3 linked regions of the Cricetulus griseus genome follow. The protein of the gene in region 1 interacts with the protein of each later gene in a biochemical or structural test. Links are inferred from orthologs where the notes say so. Each region holds a gene or a part of one and is shown in the gene's direction. Other genes may lie near its edges.

The links.
Region 2: the proteins of Msn (region 1) and Spn form a complex in vitro, tested with the Homo sapiens proteins (2 studies listed by BioGRID). The link is inferred for Cricetulus griseus from reciprocal best matches to the Homo sapiens genes MSN and SPN.
Region 3: of the proteins of Msn (region 1) and Lrrk2, one has a biochemical effect on the other in vitro, tested with the Homo sapiens proteins (9 studies listed by IntAct). The link is inferred for Cricetulus griseus from reciprocal best matches to the Homo sapiens genes MSN and LRRK2.

The regions. Positions count from the first base shown.
Region 1 is NC_048604.1:74,065,428-74,069,547, reverse strand, and holds the start of Msn (moesin), read left to right. Parts: upstream 1-1,285; 5' UTR 1,286-1,489; coding exon 1,490-1,501; intron 1,502-4,120. UniProt on the Homo sapiens protein: Ezrin-radixin-moesin (ERM) family protein that connects the actin cytoskeleton to the plasma membrane and thereby regulates the structure and function of specific domains of the cell cortex.
Region 2 is NC_048596.1:73,613,890-73,618,249, forward strand, and holds the start of Spn (leukosialin), read left to right. Parts: upstream 1-1,466; 5' UTR 1,467-1,489; coding exon 1,490-1,621; intron 1,622-1,996; coding exon 1,997-3,172; 3' UTR 3,173-3,174; coding exon of another isoform or gene 3,175-3,295; 3' UTR 3,296-4,360. Other genes in the region: Qprt (nicotinate-nucleotide pyrophosphorylase [carboxylating]), read left to right, coding at 3,175-3,295. UniProt on the Homo sapiens protein: Predominant cell surface sialoprotein of leukocytes which regulates multiple T-cell functions, including T-cell activation, proliferation, differentiation, trafficking and migration.
Region 3 is NC_048595.1:388,266,344-388,269,989, forward strand, and holds part of Lrrk2 (leucine-rich repeat serine/threonine-protein kinase 2), read left to right. Parts: coding exon 1-93; intron 94-2,569; coding exon 2,570-2,756; intron 2,757-3,646. UniProt on the Homo sapiens protein: Serine/threonine-protein kinase which phosphorylates a broad range of proteins involved in multiple processes such as neuronal plasticity, innate immunity, autophagy, and vesicle trafficking.

The DNA.
Region 1 (4,120 bases):
CCAGAGAGGGAAGGGACTTACCCAAAAGAACACAGAGGACACAGGATGCATTAATGGTAAAACTGTGATTTGAAGCCAGGTGGGTGCTGTGGTTGCCCCCTTCCAAATGCCCTTGCCACAACTCTGTAGTTGAGTCCCAATCATTGAGGCATATAGTACTTTACCTCACAAAAGACACGCAATCCATGCTCCTGCTCAGTTGCCAGAACAAGAGGGTATATCTCATCTCAGAGACTTATACCCTTATCAAAAAGTGAATTCAAATCTGGTGTTGGGGCACACACCTGTAATCCCAGCACCAGGGTGGCAGAAGCAGAAGGATGACGAGTCCAAGTCAATGGACTACTGATACTACCGCGTGTTAAAAAACGAATGCATAGAAATGGAGGCACACACGTGAAAGTCAGTAGACACAGTAGGATTATTAGTTCCAGACTAACCTAAAGTAACATAGTAGGACTGAATTCAAGACTAACCTAAACTACATAATATGTTTCAGGCCAGCTCCAAACCAAAAAAATAATCAAAAACCCTTAATGTGCCAGGGTGGGGCTAAAGAAAGGACCAGGGTACTTACTGGTCTGAGTAGAGTTGAGACTGGGAATACGAGGAAAGAAAGGGAATTTAGAAGACAGATGTTTGGAAAAGATTTCGAATCTGAAGATCACGAGGCCCAAATAATGTAGAGGAAATGTGACAGGTGATACGAGCCCTATAGATGGGAATGAAGTGTTTAGGAAGAGCTGAGGCAACTTAGTCCAGAGAAGTTTCCTGAGGAGTAGCAGAACTCTGGGGAGCTGCTATGGACAACAGAGGATTTGCTGTGTTCCCAGGGAGCTTAGATGAAACATAGTTGGAAGTCACAGAGCAAAAGAGTTCAAAAGTACCCAGGGGGAATTTTCTAATCAGCAAGGATGCCTAGAGAGGGTATAGGGCAGCTCTCATGGGCAACGGGTTCCCCAACAGTGGTTAACTCACAGTCAAGGACTGCATAAGCATCTGCTAGGGTGTGGCCCCCCACTAAAGCTCTGGCTCAGTCTGGGGGCGGAGTCTGAGGGTCGAAACTTGAAGGGCTAAGGACAGTGAGAAAGGTGGGAGAGGGCAGAGTGGGTCTGGATGGGGAGTGGGAGTCCTTGGTGTGTTTGGGCCCCAGCCTGGACCCCCACGTGGCCGGAGTGGCTGCACTGGGCTGGGCCGGGCTGGGCGGGGCGATGCCCAAAGCGGCGGGCAGGCGGGTGGGAGGGCGGGGAGAGGCGCGGAAGCCCGGCCACATAAAGGAGCGAGCGGCGCAACGAGGGCGGCTCTTTCCTGGGTGGGGTTTGTAAAGTCGTGGCCCGTTAGCAGGAAGCGGAGCAGTCGCCCAACTCTAGAGTGGGACCCAATCTGAGCAACCGGCTCTCCCAAGTCCTTGCCGAAGTGTACCGCGCGCTCAGAACAGCCCGACAGTTTCTAGCCAAACTTCACCAACTCCTCCGCCTTTGCCGCCACCATGCCGAAGACGGTGAGTGCTGGGGACAGGGGCTGTCGGTCCCGAGGGCTCCAGTTTGACCCTTGCAGTCCCATGGCTGTGGGCTTGCCTGGTCACAGGCCTGCCGGGGATGCCGGGCTGTCCCTCAAGGCCCTAAGAAGGAGAGGATAGTGGGGTCCTGGTTTGAGTGTTCTAGAGGGTGAGGGGGTGTCCGGACTAGAAGTGTGGATAAGGAGGGGCCAGCCTTTCTCAGGGTCCAGTTCCCCGCCTCTGGGATGAGGCAGTGGAAACTCAGGGTTATTGGGCACTGGGAAGAGGACTCTACTTCTGAGAACATTGTCCCGGCCCAGGAATTGGCGCCTTTCTGGAGCAAGGCTATCACTGTCCCAGAAGAGCCCCATGGTAACCGAGAAGCAGGGAGGAGAGAGGAAGTTGCTCAGGGCGGATCCCGCACGCCCATCCACCTTTCCCATAGCCGTCCGCCCTTCTCCCCTACTCCTGCTCTGCCCCCTTAGACCGCTCCTCAGTTCAAACTGCTTTCCCCTGGGAGATGAGGGGGATGTAGATGGGACTCAACAACTAGGCTACTTCCTGTTACCCAGGGGTGCAAACACTTCACTAGGCACGAGTCTGTGGAGGGGCCCACTCAACCTACTGGAAGAGAGGGCAGGTTTCTCTTCCTCTACGAAATCCCTGATAGACACAGTGCCTCTCTATCCCCTTAGGACTATTCTGTGAGGTATGGGTTTTCTCCTGTGGGGGCCACACCTATCTAGTGTAGTGGTTGATTAGAGATCTGGACTCCACCCCACTGGCTGTTGCTAGAAGAGCAGAAGCCTCCAGGGAGTGAGGCCTAGGGGGGCCGGATGCCCAGTAGGGAGGGGTGGGGGAGGGGTGTGTGCTTGACTAATGAGCTCTGCTTGCTTTTGTGCAAGTCACGCCAGGTCCTTGTTCAAGAAGGCCCGATGTCCACCGTGGCTTGAGTCTCTTAGGTGAAGGAGCTTGCTGGGCTCCTATGTTGTATGTTCCTAGCCCATCCATCTCCCTAGGATTGCCTGAACCTGGTGGAGCTGAGATAGTGACTAGGATGCTTAGGAAGGGATGAGGGCCCCTGGGAGGAGAGGAGACTGGATAGATATTGAGAGGTCTTTGTGTCTATACTGAGGTTTAGTTCCCACCATACTGTATTCCAGCCTCACTACTGAGCCGGCCTTGCCTTCTCAGAACTCTTGTCCTTAAAGAACACAAAGTTTTTTTTATTATTTCTTAATTTTTTGAGACAGAGTCTCATGGTCTTACGTAAAATTGTACTTTATGAGTGTGTGTGTGTGTGTGTGTGTGTGTGTGTGTGTGTGTGTGTGTGTGTGAAATTATACTTGGTTCGCCTCCTCCATTGCCCTCCTGTTGTCTCCTTCACCCCAGGACTTCTAGCAGGTCTCTTTCCTCCCCTCAGTCTGCCCTTCTGTTTTTAAATCACATGTATCCTGCTGCTGGGCTTTTAACTTAGGCTGGCCTGGGACTCACCATGTAATGCAGATAGGTCCTGAATTTTTGCCAATCTCCCTGCCTCCGTCTTAGCAATGCTGAGTTTATAGGCTTGACAGCCACCACACCTGGCTTGCTTTTTTTTCGGTAGAGGGTCTTATCCTAGCACAGGCTGGTCTAGAACTCTCTTTGTAGCCTGAGGCAGTCTTAAAAACTCTTGGAAGTCGTTCTACTTCATCCTGCCAAGTGCACGGATTGCAGGTTTGAGCCACCATCACACTCGGCTTCCACTCCTTCTCTGTTGTGTACTTAACCATTTCTAAACTGTGAAAGATCCAGAATGGTAGTGTAAAATCAAATGCCTTCATTTGTATTAGCCATGGTCAGTTTTACTGTTATAACCAATTTTTTTCTAGCCGGGCCAGACTGCTTTAAATCTGTTGAAATAAGTCTTTCTTGGACTGTTTTCTGGTTGCTACTTTCCTTAGTCTGGTCTTTGATGTTTCTTGAAGCAAGGTCCTCCTACCTTGTAGCACAGGCTGGCCTCCAACTCTTGCAATCTTGACTCAGCCCTTGGGATGCTAGGATCATAGGCTTTTACAATATGACCAGCCTGTCTAGCCTTCTGGAGAGACGACAATTCTAAATGAAAATGTCTTTCCTAAGACTGGCGAGGTGGCTTAACAGGTAAGAGCTCACACTGCTCTTTCAGGTTCAGGTCTCAGCACCCACATGGCAGCTTAGAACTGTGTGTAACTCCAGATCCAGGAGTCTGACTCCCTCTTCTGGCCTCTTGGGCATTAGGCACAAATGTGGTGCACATACATACATGTGGTCAAAACGCTCATGTACATAAAATAAACAGACTTTTTTTTGAGAAGGCCTTTCCCTTTCACACCCATCTTTAACTTAAGAAAAAACAAAAAACAAAAAAAACTCAAAAACTTTGGAAACTCTTGGATTCCCTAAAAAGAGATTGTGATTTTTTTGTAGTTTTGGAGCCTGTCCGGGAACCCTCCCTGTAGACCAGGCTGGCCTTGAACTCACAGAGATCCCCCTGCCTCTGCCTCCCGAGTGCTGGACTTAAAGGGGTGTATCACCACAACCTGAATGAGATTGTAAATTTTTAGGGTTTTGAGTTTTTATTTCGAGCTTTATGATTTATTG
Region 2 (4,360 bases), on another chromosome or scaffold:
GTATCTCCCAGACCTTGAGTAAAGGATGTCCAGGCAGATGAATGCTTAGACTGCCTGCTGTTCTGTGAGCACAGTAGTCCTGCTTCTGACCCCAAGTCTCATGCCACCTTAACTCAGCAGTGAGTAGCTACAGTAGGAGCCTAGACTCTGCCAGGGACCTATTTCAGTCATTTTGTTCTTATAGAACTTGGGTTAATTAAATTACAGATTTTTAAAATTCTTTTCTACTTTTGAGATTTTTTAATGTAGATATGTAAACACTATGGTTAAGAGAAAGAAAAGTATTCAGAAAGAAAGACATGACCGAGAGAGTGGTATGGATTCCTCAGAGGAGAGACCCCTTTTTGTTTGTTTGTTTATTTTGTCTGTTTTTGTTGTTGTTATATTGTGCACAGAACTGTTTTGACAATATAAAAATCAGTTATGAGTTTTTGCTTGTTTCTTGTGGTTTTTCGAGACAGGCCTGTGTGGCCCTGGCTGTCCTGGAACTCGCCCTGTAGACCAGGCTGACCTCGAACTCACAGAGATCCGCCTGCCTCTGCCTCCCGAGTGCTGGGATTAAAGGTGTGCGCCACCATGCCCAGCCAGTTATGGGTTTTCAGAAGGCAAGGCCAGGTTCCCAAACAGACAACTACCAAAAGGATCCATTTGCTAGCTCAAGTCAGGCAACAGAAATCATTCAAAGGAAGAATGCAAAGAGCCCCTTATTCAAGGCTGGGGGTGTGGCTCAGAGTAGAGAATGTGTGTGGAACCAGGGCCCTGGGATTGATCTTCAGCATTGCAGAAATGACCCCAAACCCTCAGTTCACACTCAACTGAAGACTTTTAGTTAATTTCATAGTACAGGTATTTCTAGAAGTTTTCTCTTTTTAAGTAAATCTGTATTTATTTTCATCTCTGTGCATGAGTGCTTGTCTGTGCCTATGCGTGCTGGTGCCCTTGGAGGCCAGCAGGGGGCGTCAGACTCTCCGGATATCTGGTGGTTGTGAGTCACACTGTGCCGGTGCGTGGAACTGACCTGGTCTTCTGGAAGGGCAGCCCATGCTCCGAACCTCTCAGCCATCTCTCCAGCCCGCATGGTTTTCTAAGACCATATTATATGCAGTGGTTATACTAGCCTCAACTGATGGCCACTGGAGTGACCTCAGCTCCTTGTGACTCTGGCAGGCTGAAAAACCTTTCAGGGGTATGAGCAAAGTCAGCGGGCTTTCCCTGGCCCTGTTACTTCCTGGGAGATCTTAGCAGGAAATGCATCACCTCAGGTCCTGGCCAAATGGCTTGCGGGACAACAGGTTCTCCTTCCATATCCTCCTCTCTCTCAGTTCCTAGTCCTTAGCATATCTTCTCATCTCCCAGCTGGGACTGCTTGACATTCTATACCCCAGTGAAAATCTAAAAATTGTCATTCTGGACCAGAGTATCCCTTCATGCCTTCACTGAGCTCCTGGGTCCCCCAGGCAGTTGTGGGAGTAGGAATGGGTGGGGCAGGATGCAGGGGTTGGGTGGGTGGAGCCAAGACCCACTTCCTTTCCCCCTGGGGCTCAGTCTGTCCCAGTCCCGACCAAGCCTCAGGAGGAGCTGGAGGTGCTCACCCTGGCCCTGCGCCATGTCCATTAAGCTGGTAAGACTAGATATAATAGAGGTGTGGGGTTGGGGGCTCAGAGGATGATGGGATGTTTCTATAGTTTGAAAAGATGGGTAGGGTGATGGGCAAAGGGGGTCAAGAGCCACTGACTGGAACAGAATGAGTGACGGCCAGGAGGACATGGCTGCTGCTGGAATCAGTTGCCAGGGCCAGGGTGGGGAGTCACTGCCACCATCTGTCCCCTTGCTGCTTCTGATAATCGTAAAAGCAAGAATGGAAAAAAAAAAAGAAATTCAGAAACCGTTAAACCACAAGCTGGGCTCGGCAGTTGGCAGGGAAGTGGCAGAAGGAGGGGGCTGGCCAGGTTTCCCTCCCCAACCCCTGTGTGTTCGGTAACTTCCCTACATTCAGGTCCTAGCTCCTGCTCTGAAGATGACCCTGCTTCTCCTCCTCTTCGGGGGCTTCTGGATCCAGGTGACGAGCAGCAACCTAGATCTGCAGAACACAACGACGCTGACACCTGCTACCCCACATAACAAGGCCCCAGACATCTCTGAGGCCTTGAGTGTCAGCCAAACAATCTCTACTAGGACAGACACAGTGGACCCTGCAGAGACTGCCAGCATCGGGAGTCACATCACACCCCCACCCTCCTCAACCCCCTTTGGAACTCCTGAATTGTCTTCTCTTGGGGTTCCCGTTGGTGCTAGCATGAGCATCCCTGTACCTGAGCCTACAACCTCCCAGGAAGTTTCCAACAAGACATCAGTGAAGCCTCCAGAATCAACAGATGTTCCCAGTGACCCTCCTGACACAATAGCCAATCCTGTGACAGACGGAACTGTGACATTTACCTCTCTAGAAAACTCTAAAGGGACCAGTGCACACCCTGTCGCCATGACAACAAGCACCAGTGAGACCAGTGGATCCTCTGTGACTACAACAGTAAGCTTCAAGACCAGTGGTCCCCCTGTCACCATGACTACTGGGTCTCTGGGTCTCTCCAGTGAGACTCATGGACTCCCTGCCACCATAGCAACCAGTTCTGTGGAGAGCTCTAGTGTAGCGGGTGGCACCCCCGTTTCTGGCATAAAAATATCCATGATGTCTACCCCAGAGCCAATAACCACCAGGACGCCACGCCAGCGATCAAGCGGCATGTTACTAGTGCCCATGCTTGTGGCCTTGCTGGTAGTTTTGGCTCTGGTTGCGCTATTGCTGTTGTGGCGCCGGCGGCAGAAGCGGAGGACCGGGGCCCTGACCCTGAGCAGAGGCGTAAAACGCAATGGGGTAGTGGATGCCTGGGCTGGGCCAGCCCGGGTTCCTGATGAAGAGGCTGCAACAGCAACAGCGTCATCAGGGCCAGGGGGCAACAAGGGCTCTGGAGCTCTGGAAAAAGAGGGGTCCGGCCAGCGGCCCACCCTCACCACTTTCTTTAGCAGACGGAAATCTCGCCAGGGCTCTTTAGTACTGGAGGAGCTGAAGTCTGGGCCAGGTCCCGACCTAAAGGGGGAGGAGGAGCCGCTGGTGGGCAGTGAGGATGAGGCTGTGGAAACCTCCACTTCTGATGGGCTTCTTAGAAGCTAAAGATGGGGCTACACCTCAAAGCCTATGAGCAACAGGAGATCCTCATCCGACCCTGCTCCTTAACCCTGGATCCTGCTCCTAGCATCCTCCTAGCATCCTCACACTCTACACTTGTGAATATTTGTGAGCCATATGCACTCATTCATTCATTCATCCCCCCCACCCCCCAGCCCTTCCTCCATGCTCCCTTTGGAATCAGTTTCCATGAGAATAATCTTAGTTGACCTACAATTTCTCCAAGGATCCACCTTGGGATGCTGGGGTCTGACAAGAAGAATGAAGCAACAAACCAGCAAACTTCCGACAATGAAACTTTGTGAAGTACATGGCACCCCCCTCCCATAGGGCCCCTTCAGGACTCCCATTGCTCAGGGGTCAGCTTAGAGCCTGGATGGGGCCATCCAGCTTGCTCTTGGGTGAACTGTGACCTGTGACTTTTCCCAGAGCACTCTGGCTCTGGGCTGGCTGACAGCTGCTGGTTGAGGCTGCCAGAGATCGGCTACTTCTCCTTGGGGCAGAGATGAGACTTTCTGGTTCCAAGAAGCCCAGGCACCTGCTGTGTCCATTCAGAGGTGTGGTTTGTGTGCAAGATGTGACCCTTAGGTGATGGCTGTGAACAGTACTGGTGAGTAGAGATGGTGGGAGAGAGCAGGGCAGGGACTGGCAAAGTGAGGGACACAGGAACGACTGGGAACACCGGTGCCTTCATCTTGCTCAGACAGGACAGGAACAGCTGAAAACCTTAATCTGTGTGCAGCCTCCAAAAGAATGCAAACTCGATGGGGACTAAGCTGCCAGACCCTCCCTTCAAAGGCGCCCTTACACCAACACCCATCCACCCACCCGTGCATACATGCTAGAAGAGGAGAGGTGACAGCCCAGCGTGGCGACTGGGTGCTGCCAAACCCTCTGGCCTTGATGCCTTTCCCCTACAGGCTCGGTTTGTCTGCTTCCTCTTCCATTCCAGGGCTGAAGTCCTTCCCTTTTCTAAGAAAGAGGGAGTTAGATGAGAATATAGGCCCAGGGGCGGGAACATGGGTGCTAGGGGCTCTCTGAGGGTCTGAGGTAGAGAGGACAGGCCCCAGTTGTGCTGCTTCTGACCCACTGTAGCCTTTGATACTGGCCCAGGCTACAACCCAAGAAGACACGTGGTCCAAAGGTGGTTGCTGGAGGAGATTTGCAAGAGGA
Region 3 (3,646 bases), on another chromosome or scaffold:
TGCGATGCCTGCCTTACCTTTTTCCATAACAAGCCTAAAATTATCTCAAAATGGTTTCACATGCATTCCAGAAGCAATTTTCATTCTTCCGCAGTAAGTTCATTGTTATTTACTTCTGAAGCTGAATGAGTTGTGGCATAACTTTTAGAAGTAAAGCAATGATTTGAAATGAGCACATATATCATGCATTTATAAACCTACTTCAGTGTTTTATTTTTTATATGAGGGTTTGATTTTTACTAGAGAAAAGATCCATCTCTTCAACCTTTGCAGTAACTTACACATGCTTTGTGTAGGAAAAACAAGAATAATTAACTGCAGCGTCCTATATCTAAATAAGATGACATGGGATGAATGTTTGTCAGATGAATGTTAGTTTCTTTCAGGTTTTAGCTGCTCACAGGGGTTTATTTGTTGCCTGAACCTTGAAATTTCATTCACTTCAGTGACATTTTCTGTGAATATTTGGAGAATATATATAGTTCCACATCTGGACAGGGTCAAGTGGCTGGGGTTTGGGGACTTGTTAATTTCATTGAAGACCCAAACTTCAGCATTAATTCAGTTCCTAGTATGTTGTCATTTTAAGAACTAGTTTATTCATGGATTATAAAACAATCATAGATTTATGAACATCATAGGCAAATAGCAACCACAGAGCTATGCCAGATAAACATAAACTCATTAGCGTAAATCTAACTTTTCAAAACCCTACTCTGTGTTTTAATTGTGCTACATGAACCTCCTCTTTGGTCTTCCTAATCATCTTATTAGGTAACTTCTGCTGTCATTTCCATTTTTAAATTTCACTAGAGAGATTAAGTATCTTCCCAAAGTCATAATTCATCTGTGTTGGTGGCCTCAACTTCACACTCCCAATTCTTAGATATTGGCTTCAATTAAATAAACATGGTCTTATGTTTTAAACATATTTCTGAAAATATATAAAGGCCAATTATGTAAGATCATTTACTAGGAAACAAAGTGGCATCAAGATGATGTCTTCTCAGAGGAGTAAACGTGTAAACCAGCTCCTGATGTCTTCAACACCATCTGCAGGCACACATCTCCACCTTTGTGCTCCTGTTTTAAATCTTCTCTTGTTTGGACAAGCTAGAGTCCTGGTTGGAGCCAAAGAAATACTACTTTGGGAGATCATAGTATTTCTTGCTTGTCTGAAATGCATTTCCAGTTAGACTGATATATGTAATCTCTAACATAGCCAGATTCTTCTTTCAATTTTCATGAACATTTCTATGGTAACTAGAACAATATATAGTACATTTTAAAGAAGAACACAACACTTTTTTAAAAAAATACAAACTCTTGTTAAGGAGATGTTGCTGCTGTGTTAGCTGAAGATTAATTTATTAAGCTTCAATACACTGAGTGGGAGGGATCAGTGTGTGTATGAAAGCCCACCCTATTTGCTGACCATCTTTATTATCTCCACACACATGTACTCATGAGAAGTAAGGTTTTCTGAAAACTGAGAAGCACTGATTAATGAGAGCAAGCAGGTTGCATGGCAGACTTATCCTAACTTTGTCTCATATTCACTGAGACTAGCTGGTAGAAGGGCATACCCACAGCTCTAGTGATTAACCTGGAGCAGCCCTGTAGAAACCACTCAATGATGAGTGAAAGCCATCCCTAGAAGGCTATCGGGGAATGCACAATTATAAACCCTGAGAGGAGACAGGATCTCAATGACCATTTGTATACTTGTTAGTCATAATTTCTCATGCCCCATGAGCATTTGTGAAACACGTATCTTTTCCTCATTTTGAGAGAGATAGTTGTATGGTCTAAAGGGAAATTGGACCTCAATTTTTCCTTTCTTCAAAAACGAGCTTTAACGAACATATATAAATTGTAAATATGGGTACCATATGATGCTTTGATGAATGAATGAATATCATGTGATATTCAAGGGTTAATATATTTGTCTCTGCAAGTATTTTTTTTTCTTTTTGGCAAAGCTACCCAAAATCCATTCTTACGATCACGTTGCTACCACATTTTCGTCAAATCAGACAAAGTAACCAACTTTGTTTCTAAGAATCCTGTGGTCATATATTGCTTATGATCTAATAAAGCTTGCTGAAGATTAGAATGGCTAACCACAACCATAGAAGCCAGGCAGTGGTGGCACACACCTTTAATCCCAGCACTAGAGAGGAACATAAGACAGGATCTCATGGTCTAATGTAGGATTCAGTCTCCAGTCATGTTGAGGACAGGATCGCCTATCTTGGTAGAGGTAAGAACTCTCTAGTGGCTTAGCTGCTTTGATTTTCTGATCTTCAGCTTGAACCTCAATATCTGTCTCTTGGTTTTTTATTATTCGTACTACATAATCCTTATTCACTTATACCTCCACTCTAGAGAAAAATGCATTTTCTTTTAAGCACTGTATGAAATACAAGCTCAAGTTCATGCTTATATGTTGGTGGTGTAGCTTTAAAATCATTTTCTAACTCTCAGTCTGGTAAAATTCTTGGGGACGTTACTTTGTGTCCTATGAGTACCTCCACTTTGCTTACAAAGGGACACCATGTCATTCCAGCTTGCGGTCCTTGGACATGAGCCACAACAACATCCAGTGTCTGCCAGGGCCTGCACACTGGAAGTCTCTGAACTTAAGGGAGCTCTTCTTTAGCCATAACCACATCAGCACCTTGGACTTGAGTGAAAAGCCACACGTGTGGTCAAGAGTAGAGAAACTGCATCTCTCTCACAATAAACTGAAAGAGGTAAGAGGTCATTTTTCTTTTAAGTTACCAGATACTTGGCAGCAGATTTTAGCTGGTGTTATCACAGCTATTTTCAAATTGGTTGATATTTCTTGCTTTGTAAATGAAATGTGATTCTTCTCTGTGCTAAGTGGGTGTACTTAAAGCTCAATAAACCCCCAGATACTCTTGTTTGATATCTTGAAAGAATTGTTACACGTGAGCGTGCATACCTAATTTTGGATATGTGGTGCTGTAACAGGGTCATTGTCTGTGACCTCTGATCTTTCACAGAGCCTAACATACTCTAAGTCTCTCATTTTCATTGGATGACAACTGGACTGTGTTATCCCTGTTTCTTTCCTCCATGCTTAGACCTTTTCAGTCTTCCTCTGGATGACCCCTCACCTAAATGAGTCAGCCTCCCTTTCCTTACACACAGAAGGAAAATATTTTCTTGTCAAGTTCAAGTTCTTGACCATTTAAAAAGCTACTTAAGGTCTGATACTTTTATGTATCAGAATTACTGGATATTTTTGGTACCTATCCCTTTTTCCATCAAATGAATGTTTTCTATTATAAGTATACTATAGTTGGCTTGAAACCTTTTAATATGGTCTTAGAATTATAATGCTTACCTAGCATACACAAGGTTCAATAACCCCAACTGAGAAAAAATACAATAGAAAATTAAACCACTTTGGTTAGGTTGGCACCTGAAGTGTAAGTATTTAGTAGTTTGTAATGATTATATATTTCTGGTTTACTTTAAAGAACATAGGCAATGTGAGAAAACAGAATAGAACCACAAATAACAGATTTTGATAAATACAAATGACTCATTTTTTCAGTATTGTATTCAATGAGGTTTGTTTTTAAGGGTGATTTAGTTTTTAAAATTATAGACAGAA